3 linked regions of the Callithrix jacchus genome follow. The protein of the gene in region 3 purifies or fractionates together with the protein of the main gene of each other region. This does not show direct contact. Links are inferred from orthologs where the notes say so. Each region holds a gene or a part of one and is shown on either strand. Other genes may lie near its edges.

The links. The genes of interacting proteins can lie anywhere in the genome.
Region 1: the proteins of NFKBIA (region 3) and ARRB1 purify together in Homo sapiens (affinity purification with western blotting; 3 studies listed by BioGRID and IntAct, with this or other methods). This does not show direct contact. The link is inferred for Callithrix jacchus from reciprocal best matches to the Homo sapiens genes NFKBIA and ARRB1.
Region 2: the proteins of NFKBIA (region 3) and TRIM22 purify together in Homo sapiens (affinity purification with western blotting; 3 studies listed by BioGRID). This does not show direct contact. The link is inferred for Callithrix jacchus from reciprocal best matches to the Homo sapiens genes NFKBIA and TRIM22.

Annotation. Positions count from the first base shown.
Region 1 is NC_133511.1:65,682,318-65,685,961, forward strand, and holds part of ARRB1 (beta-arrestin-1), read left to right. Parts: intron 1-826; coding exon 827-910; intron 911-2,107; coding exon 2,108-2,131; intron 2,132-3,644. UniProt on the Homo sapiens protein: Functions in regulating agonist-mediated G-protein coupled receptor (GPCR) signaling by mediating both receptor desensitization and resensitization processes.
Region 2 is NC_133511.1:71,285,764-71,289,407, reverse strand, and holds part of TRIM22 (E3 ubiquitin-protein ligase TRIM22), read right to left. Parts: intron 883-3,644; 5' UTR 825-882; coding exon 405-824; intron 1-404. UniProt on the Homo sapiens protein: Interferon-induced E3 ubiquitin ligase that plays important roles in innate and adaptive immunity.
Region 3 is NC_133509.1:69,916,272-69,920,668, forward strand, and holds the start of NFKBIA (NF-kappa-B inhibitor alpha), read right to left. Parts: upstream 2,897-4,397; 5' UTR 2,788-2,896; coding exon 2,573-2,787; intron 1,965-2,572; coding exon 1,856-1,964; intron 1,526-1,855; coding exon 1,315-1,525; intron 1,018-1,314; coding exon 929-1,017; intron 822-928; coding exon 561-821; intron 212-560; coding exon 164-211; 3' UTR 1-163. UniProt on the Homo sapiens protein: Inhibits the activity of dimeric NF-kappa-B/REL complexes by trapping REL (RELA/p65 and NFKB1/p50) dimers in the cytoplasm by masking their nuclear localization signals.

The DNA of each region.
Region 1 (3,644 bases), on a different chromosome or scaffold from region 3:
GCTTCCTGCAAGAGGTGGCAGCTTCTGACCCAATGCCTTCAGTCAGATGGGGTATCCCTGAGGAAAGACCAGGGTGGTGAGCTGAGTTAGACCCAACATGGGGTGCCCCTCCAAGTCAGTGGCCCCAGGGCCTCTGGTCACTCCTGCTGCTTGGTCATCACAGATGCCTCGAGGCTGCTCCACTCCAGCAGTGCTCTGTGTGTGGGGCTGCCATCTTTCCCTCTTGCAAGTGTGGTCCTTCGTCGGGGCTTTGGCCTGTGTCTAGAGCAGCCTCCACTCCCAGCATGAACTCAGCTCTCTTCCCAGCAACTACACATCCTCCCACTTACCTGAAGCTTTTGGCCCCATCTCCACCCTGGCTCGAACTTTACCCATCTTCAAGACCCAGCTGAGGCACCACCTCCACGGAGAAATCCTTCTCTGACAGTCCCCACCCCACCCCAGCAGCCTCGCTCTCTGTGAACTTCCCATCTGGCCCTTTCTGCTCATAGGTTGCTGAGAGAAGCAGAGTCCATCTGAGGGGAGGAGGAGCCTGCCCCTCACCGTGGGGATGCTGGCCTGGGCAGGGAGAGGGGCTCAACGTGGCCACACAGCGAGCGAACCTCACAGCCAGACGTGCAACTGGGGCTCTGGCTCCCCGCTCCCTAATGGCATAGCTTGCCTTCCTCACCTCCACTGGGCTCCACACTGGGCTCTGTTGGACATGGTGGCTGAGAGGCCAGCCAGATAGGGGATGGATAGCCAGTGCCCCCCAGCACACCCACCCCTGCAGGGTCTCGCGCATCCCTCGAGGCCACTGAACCGGCTCCCCTGTGTCACTTTTCAGGTTGAGGGAAGGCGCCAACCGTGAGATCCTGGGGATCATTGTTTCCTACAAAGTGAAAGTGAAGCTGGTGGTGTCTCGGGGCGGGTGAGTGCTCTAGCCCAGCCCAAGATCCCTAGTGCAGAGGGGAGCATCCCAGATGCCCACAGTCCCCTGCCCCATTCTGCCTATTTGCTGTCCTTTCAGCTGCATCCACCTTGGAGCAGGACCTCCTGTCCCTTCGCTTCCTCCCTTGTGGTTCCTCTTTCTCCTCCCCTGTCCACTTTCCCTCTCTTCCATCCTTGGCCCTCAGCCCCTCCCTCAGCCCCCACCCATCTCTTTCTCGCTCTCCTTCTCTTCTATCCTGGGTCTGGGCTTGCGCTGAGGATTGGCCATGCCCAGGCGACAGAGTCCTCAGAGTCTATGTTGTGGGGTCCCCCAGAGTGCCATATTCCTCATCACACCTTGGGACATAGCACCCACCCCCATGCATGCCCAAGCTGATTTTCTGAGGAAGCAGCTAAAAGGGCTCAGAACCCACAGCTGGATTGGGGATTTGCTAGCTGGTCAGCTTTCCCATTTTACAGATGGTGAAACAGAGGCCCAAACAGTGCCCCAAACATTGCCTGAAGTCTCCTCCCCTAACTCAGGTCATGGGCTGGGGTCACAGCAGTGGACCAGACTTTCCTGCCATGGAGCGTAATTTGGTGGAAGCTTGGGGAGGAAAAAAAAAAGCAACTACCTTTTCTGTGTGTGCGTAACTTAGTTCATACATTTCTATGAAAAGATTGAAAAGCTGAATCCCATTAGACATTGGGTCTCCTTGGTTATTAGAAGAATGCCTCTTGGCAGGTGGCACTGTGTAATCCTGACCTTATACAATAGGACACCTGAAGATTACAAATCCCAAATGCTGTGTCTGGTGACCTTTCAGGACCCACAGTCTCTCAAACATTCTTGGCAACCCCGGAGTCCTTCCCTCTGCCTTTAGATAGCCCGGCCTCCCTTGGGGTAGTTAGCACCAGGGTTAATTTTCACACTGCCTTCACAGATGAGGATCCTGGGGCTCAGGGGGTTTTTGAGCTGGGTCTAGATCCCAGTCACCCAGGGCAGCGCTAATGCCGTTTCTACATATCCCTGAATGAGCAGTCAGGGCTGTGCCGGGTGGGGCGGGGGCGGGTGGAGTGTGTCCCGTGGGTCTTCTCTATCTGGGGGCAGCAGAAGTGGTGAATGAATGTGCTTTTTGTTTTCTTCCTCTCTGAACTCTCTCCTGACCACTTCTCCTGCCTCCTCTGACCCACCCAGCCTGTTGGGAGATCTTGCATCCAGGTAAATTCCTCCCTTCCACCTGATTCACCCACCTTCCTGGAGGGCCTGGAGCCGATTGGCTTGACTGACCAGAATCACAGGGCACTGGGTTGGAAGGAATCTTGGTGGTCATTTCAGATTGCCAGGTTCAGGTGTGAGCTGGGAGACACTGTTTCTCTTTAACAAACCTCACTTTGCTCTTCCACCCGAGTGACAGGGACCTTTACAGAGAGCAAAGCCCGATTGCATTGATACAGGGAGTGGCCCCCAAGAGGGCTGTTTGAATTACCGATCAATTGAATTATAGGAGCTTTTGGAGAAATGCAGACTTCATGGCTTTCAAACTTCCGAACTAATGAGAATGAGCTGCTGCTGGCTGAGAGTTGCTAAGGAGAGGTCCTCTTTTGTAAACACAGCTTCCTTGCAGCCAGCTTGATGCACTTAGATTCCAAACATGTCTGTACCCTACACACAGCAGTTTGGCCTTCTGTCACAAGATGGCAGTGTGGCTCATCCTAAGAAATCTTAGCCTGATTTGACAGGTGAAATTCGTTTAATTCAATTCAGTGTAATATCATTCAGCAAGGATTTCCTCAACCCAGGCTGGTACCTAGGCTGGTGCTGAGTGCCAAAGTCCCAGAGAGGAATCAGATGTGCCCCCTGCTCTTATCGTTCCTGGCCTGGTAGAAGATTAAGGTCCAGATTCTTTCCCTAATGTTGGCAAACTTGCTCTTCCACCAGCTCCCCAAAGCAAAATGAAAAAAAAGGAAGAAAAAAAGTCCAAATAGTTCTGACAGCCTTATAAAACCCCAGGTTCCCACTGGGGGAAGTAATGATTATGGCAGGCACAAGCTTCACATTTTCATTTTATATTTTTATTCTTTTTGAGACAAGGTCTAATGCTATTGCCCAGGCTGGAGTGCAGTGATACAGACTTGGTTCACTGTGACCTCCTCTGCCTCCTGGGTGGAAGCCATCCCTCCACCTCAGCCTCCTGAGTAGCTGGGACTACAGGTGTGCACTACCATGCCCAGCTAATTTTTGTATTTTTAGTAGAGACGGGGGGTGGGGAGTGGCATCTCACCATGTTGCCCAGGCTGGTCTCTAACTCCTGAGCTCAAGGGATCTGCCCGCTTTGGCCTCCCAAAGTGCTGGGATTATGGGCATGAGCCACTGTGCCCCGCCAAGCTTTACAGTTTAACTAGCATTTAGCTGCCTCACCTCTAGGAAGTTCCAGTGGCTCTAGAAGACAGGTATTGTTATCCCGACTTCGAAGCTGAGCTCAGTGAGACTCAAAGCCAGAAATTGCTGCGCCAGCGAGTGGCAAGGCTGGCAGAGCAGACCCTTCTAGTTGCCTAGCTTGTGCCTCTGACCACTCCGTTCCCTTTCCCTTTCTCCTTCCCAGCTGGGCTCTGGGCAACAAGATCAGTGAGATGTGGCCTGTGCCTGGAGGCACTCACAATTGGGGGGTCTCCTAGGGTGATGCCACGCCAAGCTGAGAGGAGCCTTCGGGGTTGCTTTTGTTAGTCTCAAT
Region 2 (3,644 bases), on a different chromosome or scaffold from region 3:
TCACCAACCCCTTATCAAGAGTAGCCTCATTCTTTTCCTAGAGAAAAAGCAGACCCTGCAGTAAGGAAAGGCTTCCTCTCATTGCCACTCTTCCCACATCTAACCAGATATGCTCCCAAAAACACCTTTCTGCTCAGAGTGCCATTTACAGCTTATCTTACAAAGCAATTCTCCATTCATTCAACATTTCTTTGCTAAAAATTTGTATTCATCTTTAAATAGAAACAATGTGCAGCAACGTCCTTCAAGCTTCAGAAACTAAGCAAAGAATATGGAAAGAGATCACATGGCTCTCAGTTCTATGGTGACAGGGGAATAAAAAAGGATTAAAAAGAAAAGTGGAGATTTCATGTCAGGTCCCATCTTCTGCTCTCTGCTCTCTCTTCTTCTGCCTTGGAACCTACCTGACATTCCTTGACCACCTCTTGTATGAGGAATGTTTGATGACCTTGGTGTTCCTGAGACAGTTCACAAACCCAACAAATGACTTTTCCATCCTCCTTACAGAAGATCTGGAGTTTTTTTCCATGGTGCTCACAGACATCTCTCTTCTGCCCCTCCTCTGGGCTCATCTTGACCTCCCTGACTCTCTGAACTATGTTGGCCAGATGCCGATTAGGTCGGAGGTTCCTAGGCTGGAATCTGGTCTGGCACACAGGACAGCTGCTTTGCCCTCCTGAGATGATCATTGACTTGTTCTTTGCAGTGATGCAGGCATGGCAGAAGCTGTGGCCACAATCTATGCTAAGAGGGTCTGTCAGGAGATCCAAGCAGATGGGGCAGGTCACCTCCTTCCCTATGTCTACCTTTACTGAAAATTCCATTGCACTGCTCCCTTGACTTCTTTCTGTCTTGAGCCTCGAAGTTCTTGGTCACAAACTCCTGCAGTGTTGGGAATGTTGAAGAGAACAGGATAAGAAAAGAGGGAATAGAAAGAATACTGATTTTACCAAGATTTAGAACAGGAGAAAACACTAATATTTAACAGAGAAAGGAGAAAAGAAAGACATGAAGAATAAACCAATGACAGAATTAAAAGGACTTTGTAGTAATATCAAACACCTTATTCTTAATTTTTGTCTTGGGACAAATTTTACCCCATCAAAGCAACTATAGTTATTTTCTCTTTTTCTACTGGAGCAAACTAAGGCTCTTCTACCAAAAGCCTCATGTAACCCGTCATTTGTCCTGCCCTTTGTCCCTCAACCCAAAACACATTTTCCACATTAAATGCAAAAAACACACTCCTGCCCCTGGGCTTGCACACATGCTTTTCTCTCTGAATGGCATGACTGTATCCCCAGCATGTGCATAATTCACTAGTATTAATACTAGTGAATACTACTGAGTTGTATTTACATAGCATCAAACACGCTCATTTTAAGTGTAATTTCATAATTTCTGGTAAATTTGTGGAACCATATTACTATTAATGTAACCCAATTTTAAACAATTTTTATCACCTGAAAAAAAACCCCACAACCTAATGCCATCACTCCTATTCTGATTCCAAGCTCCAGGCAACCACTAAAATCTTTCGGGTTTTTAACCAATTCATAAAAGCAGAATATATAGGGTCTTTGGTGTCTAACTTATTTTACTTACACTGTTCAGGTTTATCTACTCTGCCCTTTTCCCCCATGTCAAAAACGCCTTCTCAATTAAACTATCAAATCTATGACTGCCTCAACACTTTTGCCCTTCCTCTTCTCTCTGCATAAAATGACTCTCCCCCTGATGTCAGCAACAGCAAGACTCACTCTTACATTTAATTCAGTCTCCTCTTACATGTCCTCTTCTTAGAAGGACATGCTATAACTTACAGCAAAACCACCAGCAATATCACTCACTGTACATTTGGTTTCTCTTATTTTTAGATGTAATATATAACATTGTTATTTAAATGTCTACTTCTTCCTCCTAAAAAGTAATCCATGCCCGGGCGCGGTGGCTCAAGCCTGTAATCCCAGCACTTTGGGAGGCCAAGGCGGGTGGGTCACGAGGTCAAGAGATTGAGACCATTCTGGTCAACATAGTGAAACCCCGTCTCCACTAGAAATACAAAAAATTAGCTGGGCATGGTGGCGCGTGCCTGTAATCCCAGCTACTCAGGAGGCTGAGGCAGGAGAATTGCCTGAACCCAGGAGGCGGAGGTTGCGGTGAGCCGAGATCGCGTCATTGCACTCAAGCGTGGGTAACAAGAGTGAAACTCTGTCTCAAAAAAAAAAAAAAAAGTAATCCATGCATAGAACTGGTACTGTTTTTGTTCATTGATTTACCCTCTATACCTAGAAGAGTGAATCACATACAGATATAAAATGCTAAACGAATATATAAAGCTAGAAGTTTCTTATCCCTCCATAGATGATTAGACCCTTTTTTTTTTTTTTTTTTTGAGACGGAGTTTCGCTCTTGTTACCCACGCTTGAGTGCAATGGCTCGATCTCGGCTCACCGCAACCTCCACCTCCTGGGTTCAGGCAATTCTCTTGCCTCAGCTTCCTGAGTAGCTGGGATTACAGGCACGCGCCACCATGCCCAGCTAATTTTTATTTTGTATTTTTAGTAGAGACGGGGTTTCACCATGTTGACCAGGATGGTCTCGATATCTTGACCTCGTGATCCACCCGCCTCAGCCTCCCAAAATGCTTAGATTACAGGCGTGAGCCACCGCGATTAGACCTTTTAATCAGATTTTTATCATCAGAAAAAATGTAGAAGAGTGAATCACATATAGAAATAAAATGCTAAACGAATATATAAAGCTAGAACCTCCTTATGCCTCCATAGATGATCAGACCTTTTAATCAGATTTTTATCTTTTCTTTCCATTAATAATCAGTTTCCCAATAGCTGAGCTTACGGCCACAATTATGGTTTCCAGTGAAGAAGCATTTACATCCTAATACATCTACTCATAGCAAGTCCTTTCAAGCCCTCACACTCACTCCCCACAAACATACACATACACACACCACCACCACCACCACCATCACCACCACCACCACTGCCACCATAATAGGAAAATAATTTTATCATGAACAATTTTATAACCAGTTACAATTTAGAAATCATTGTGACTTATTTATTCTTCATACAAAACCCTTGAGAAATAAGAATACTCCCTTTCTTCAGGTGTGTCAATGGAAGCAAGGGACTTACAAAGATCACTCATTCTAATCTAATATGTAAAGAGTGAATGTATTGTCCCCAAGGTCCTCCTTCAGAGTTCTCTCCACTACTGCATAGATTTAAACAGATAATAAAGGTGAAGGCTAGAAGAGCTATATTGGTGCCCAATGCTATAGGTGTATAGAAATGGAGAGATCCAAATCTATGCAGTTCTGGGGTATGCTGTGGTTTTAAATGTTGAAATTTCACCTTGGCCTGGACATATGACAAGGATGATGATAAAAACCTAAAGGTGTATATCTGTAGGGAAGAGGAAAAGAAGCTAAAATAGTTATGGAATCACACACATGACATGCACCCAATGAATATACATTTCAAAGAAACATCTGTTGGTCATGAGAGAAAAGTCTCAATTCATAAAGGAGGCCAAATATATTGAGAATATGTAGTGGAGAGATAAAGTCTGTCCCATTTCAAACACAACGAATGCTACTATGGGATGGATTGTTTCTC
Region 3 (4,397 bases):
CGAGGGCTGATCCCACCACAGTAAAATGTTTTGGGCCAGGCAGTGTGCAGTATGGATATAAGTACACCCTTTAAATTTTTTTTTTTTTTTTTTTTTTTTAAGAAAAATAAAACTCTCTTTTTGTACAAATATACAAGTCCACGTTCTTTCAGACCCTTTGTGCTCATAATGTCAGACGCTGGCCTGCAAACACACAGTCATCATAGGGGAGCTGAAAACAAAGGGAAAAAAAGAACGTTAAACTTCTGGAGCTCTGCCAAGCTATTGGGATGGGGAAGCTGCTACTGGAAATAACACTTGGACTCCATTCTCCGTAGCCCAAATATAGTGAACTTTACAGGTTGAGGGAGTTTGCCTTTAATGCTTCTCTTTTAAAAAAAACAGTGCGCTATTAAAAAAAAAAAAAGGCACATTCTTGGGATACTGGTTATACACAGAAATTTGAGAGATTCATTACATGGACATTCCTCTAATGAAGAGCAGCTCTAGGGGACTGGGAGGGTGAAGGGAAAGCCCCCCCGCCATTAATTTCACAGAATACTGAAGCAGTTCAGACTCACCTCATCCTCCGTGAATTCTGACTCTGTGTCATAGCTCTCCTCATCCTCACTCTCTGGCAGCATCTGAAGGTTTTCTAGTGTCAGCTGGCCCAGCTGCTGCTGTATCCGGGTGCTTGGGCGACCCCAGGTAAGCTGGTAAGGGGAGTAGCCCTGGTAGGTAACTCTGTTGACATCAGCCCCACACTTCAGCAGGAGCGACACCAAGTCAGGATTCTGCAGGTCCACTGCGAGGTGAAGGGCAGTCCGGCCATTACAGGGCTCCTGAAACCAAAAGGAATTTGAGATGCCTATGGCTGCGTTTGGAATTTCTGCTTGCAACACAAGCACGAGGAGCTTGACTCAGAACATGGGAGGCAGGAAGCACTCACCTGAGCATTGACATCAGCACCCAAGGATACCAAAAGCTCCACGATGCCCAGGTAGCCATGGATAGAAGCTAAGTGCAGACACGTGTGGCCTGGAAGAACAAAAGGAAAAAAGCATAACCATTTGTTTCAACCCTCCTAAAGCAGCACCTTTCACCTATTCTTTTATGGGACAAACAGTCATGTCTTCTGAATTTTAAGAACCCCAGTCTGGGTTCTGAAGGGACTTTTAAAATGTATCCAATAGGCATATTGCACACATCTTTTCTCGATCTTTCACAGGTTGGGAGTTTAAGCTCTTTCCTGGACTCCCTAAGTTGGCCCACGTGCCCTTTCTGCATGTCACCTGCCCTCTGAGGGGGTGGGGCAGGGCAGGAAGGCAGACATACCATTGTAGTTGGTAGCTTTCAGGATGGAGTGGAGGTGTGGGGTGGTGCAGGCCTGAGTCAGGACTCCCACGCTGGCCAGGCAGCCCTGCTCACAGGCAAGGTGTAGGGGGGTATTTCCTCGAAAGTCTCGGAGCTCAGGATCACAGCCAGCTCCCAGAAGTGCCTCAGCAATTTCTGGCTGGTTGGTGATCACAGCCAAGTGTAGTGGAGTCTACCAGTGCAAGAGAAACCAGAGAGAGTAAGCCATGAATCAAACCCACACCCCGAGTTCCCCGGATCCCCAATGTCTCCTGGTTGGGTGCTGCTCCTCCCAGGTGGGAGGGTGGGGAGGGCTGGCAAATAGCAGAGGCTCCAGGTGGGTCATAAAGACCTCACCAAATCCATAGAATTTCCTTCCCTCTCTAGGATGGGGGCTGATGCGAAGTAAACGGCAGGGGTGAATAATGCCCAGTGGCCCTTAATTCAGAAAGGATCTGGGGTGACTCTGCTACATCAGCTCTGTCCCAGGGTCAAAGAAAGCCCGGGCCAGGCACGTGCGCACCTGCTGCAGGTTGTTCTGGAAGTTGAGGAAGGCCACGTCTCCCTTCACCTGGCGGATTACTTCCATGGTAAGTGCCTTTTCTTCATGGATGATGGCCAAGTGCAGGAACCTGTGGGGAAGAGGGAAAAACCCCCAGGGGTGGTGAGTGCACCGCGTGGGGCCCAGGGAGGCGCGGGCTGCGGGGGATTGCGCAAGGCCGGGGTTTCTGGAGGCCGAGGCCGCGGTGTTTTCCGCGAGGTTATTATGAGCTGAGTGTTCCTGGCAGGCGCCCAGGGACTTTCCGCCCCCCTCCTTCAGGCCTCGGCGGGCGCCGGCCAGACCGCCCCGCCCTCCCGCCGGCTCGGAACGCCCTGTACTTCCCCTCCCGGCTGCAAGGCGCCCGCCAGCGGCCAGAAACTCCCGCCCCGCCTTATGCAACCGGGGACTTCGCGTCCCCACCGCCGCCCCGCCCCCGGCCTAGAGGACGGATGGGGGGGAGGGGGCGTGTGGCGACGCTGCGGTCCACCAGAGCCGAGCCTCTGCCCCTCCTAGTCCAGCCGGAGTCCCGCGCGGCCCTGCGGCCCTGCAGCGTTCGGCGCCGTGCAGGAGCCCCGGGGCGCCGCGGTGCTGGCCCGGCTGCAGCGCTGGTCCCCGGGCTCGGGCTGCAGGCCCAGCACCCCCCAAGCCCCGCCTGCGCGCGTCCGGTCCTCCCAACGACCCCTGGCCCGCGCCACTTACGAGTCCCCGTCCTCGGTGAGCTGCTGCTTCCAGGGCTCGGCGCCGTGCTGCGCCTCCTGCGGCTCTAGGCGGATCTCCCGCAGCTCCTTGACCATCTGCTCGTACTCCTCGTCCTTCATAGAGTCCAGGCCGCTGTCGTGGCGGTCGTCCAGCAGCCGCTCCTTCTTCAGCCCATCGCGGAGGCCCTCCATGGCCCACTCGGCTGCCTGGAACATTGCTCGGGCGAGCTGTGGGTGCTGCTGCGGGTGCGCTGGGCCGCGGGCTGCGCGCTGCTTCCTCGCTGGAGCGCTGGCGAACGGTACGGCGGCGCGGGCTGCTGTGGGCTCTGCAGCGCCGCCCCAACGCCCTTATAAACGCTGGCTGGGGATTTCTCTGGGGCGGGGTCAGGCGCGGGGAATTTCCAAGCCAGTCAGACCAGAAAAGAGAACTGGCTTCGTCCTCTGCTAGGGGGAAAAAGAAGCCTAAACCCTGAGCTGGGGTTCATCGGAGAAACTCCCTGCGATGAGGCACTGGGGTCACGGACAGGGAACTTTTTGATGAGCGCCGAGTGGCTGGAAAGTCCTTCCTACCAGGCCCCCTGCCCCCGGTACTTCCCTGCAGCCTGCACCCTGTAATCCTGTCCCTCTGCAAGTTAACCATTTTTCCCTGGGGTTTCCCACGATCGCTTTGAATTGGGGTCGTCGGCTGCTGAGATCCCAAGGACGCCGACCTGATGGGCAGTCCTTCTTTGGGGTTTGCCAACCTGCCGGTCTTTTCCGTTTTTTGATCTTTTGAAAACGCAAGAGTGGAAATGATGGCTGGGTGTAGGGATTTGCTTTCCGCAGACTTCTCTCTAAGGGGAAGGACGCACTGTGATTAGAAGGCTGCAGGCCGCCGACGTGTTTCTACCAATACCAGGCTCTTTGCAGCACCGGGACGCTTAGCTTCTCCACCCCCACCCCCACCCCCACCCCCACCCCCACCCCCACCCCCACCCCCACCCCCACCCCCACCCCCGCACACCCCGCCAGATAGAAGTTGTGAAAGCTTTGGAGTGAAAACCTAAATCCTTGGAGAACTCTCAAATAAGTTCCTATGGAAGAAGAGCTCTGTTGACTGGGGGAGGGGTGAACTCTCCCTGTACGGGGGAAACTGCTAAATAGGACCAGGATTTTCTTCCCCCTAAGTAAAGCTAGGTGCTAATCTTTGTAGTAGTGGTTGTGGATACTTTGCAATAACAAAATAACTATTGTGTTCCTAAGTAGCGATTTTGTTCATGCTCTCTGACCTACATTGTGCTGCTGCAGAGAATGGATCCTGAGCCTACTTCTGGGTGCAAACTGAGCAATTCTCCAGGAACACTTGGAGAAGGAGACTGAAGAATGAGTTTAGTTAGTACCTTAAACCGCGCTTGGACCGTAAGGACCACTAAGAAACTAGTTGCCAGGCATCCTGCGGGAGGCTGAAGGCAGTCTGGTCCTGCCCGCCCCTCCTTGCTCCATTGTCCGGGGGGACGGTAGCAGTTGGACTCATTCATGCCACCCAGGTAGAAAGGGGTTTGGGCTCACTGTGCTCTGGTTTTACCTGCAGAAATAGAATTTTTGCTCTCCACCCCATCTCCACCTCCAAGTCTACAAGTCATGGACTGAATTCTACTTGATAGAGTTGGTATAGGCAAAAGAAAGCAAACTTCAATCAGAGCTCTTCAGGATTAGTCCCGGGAGGCCTCTATAGTTCTGCAGAGATTTCTGGTGATTATTGCAGTCATCTTTACCTTGACTGGCCATGTACTAACCAATCCTTCCCCTCTCTTCAAATCTCCACCTTTCCCCCAATATTAGAATAT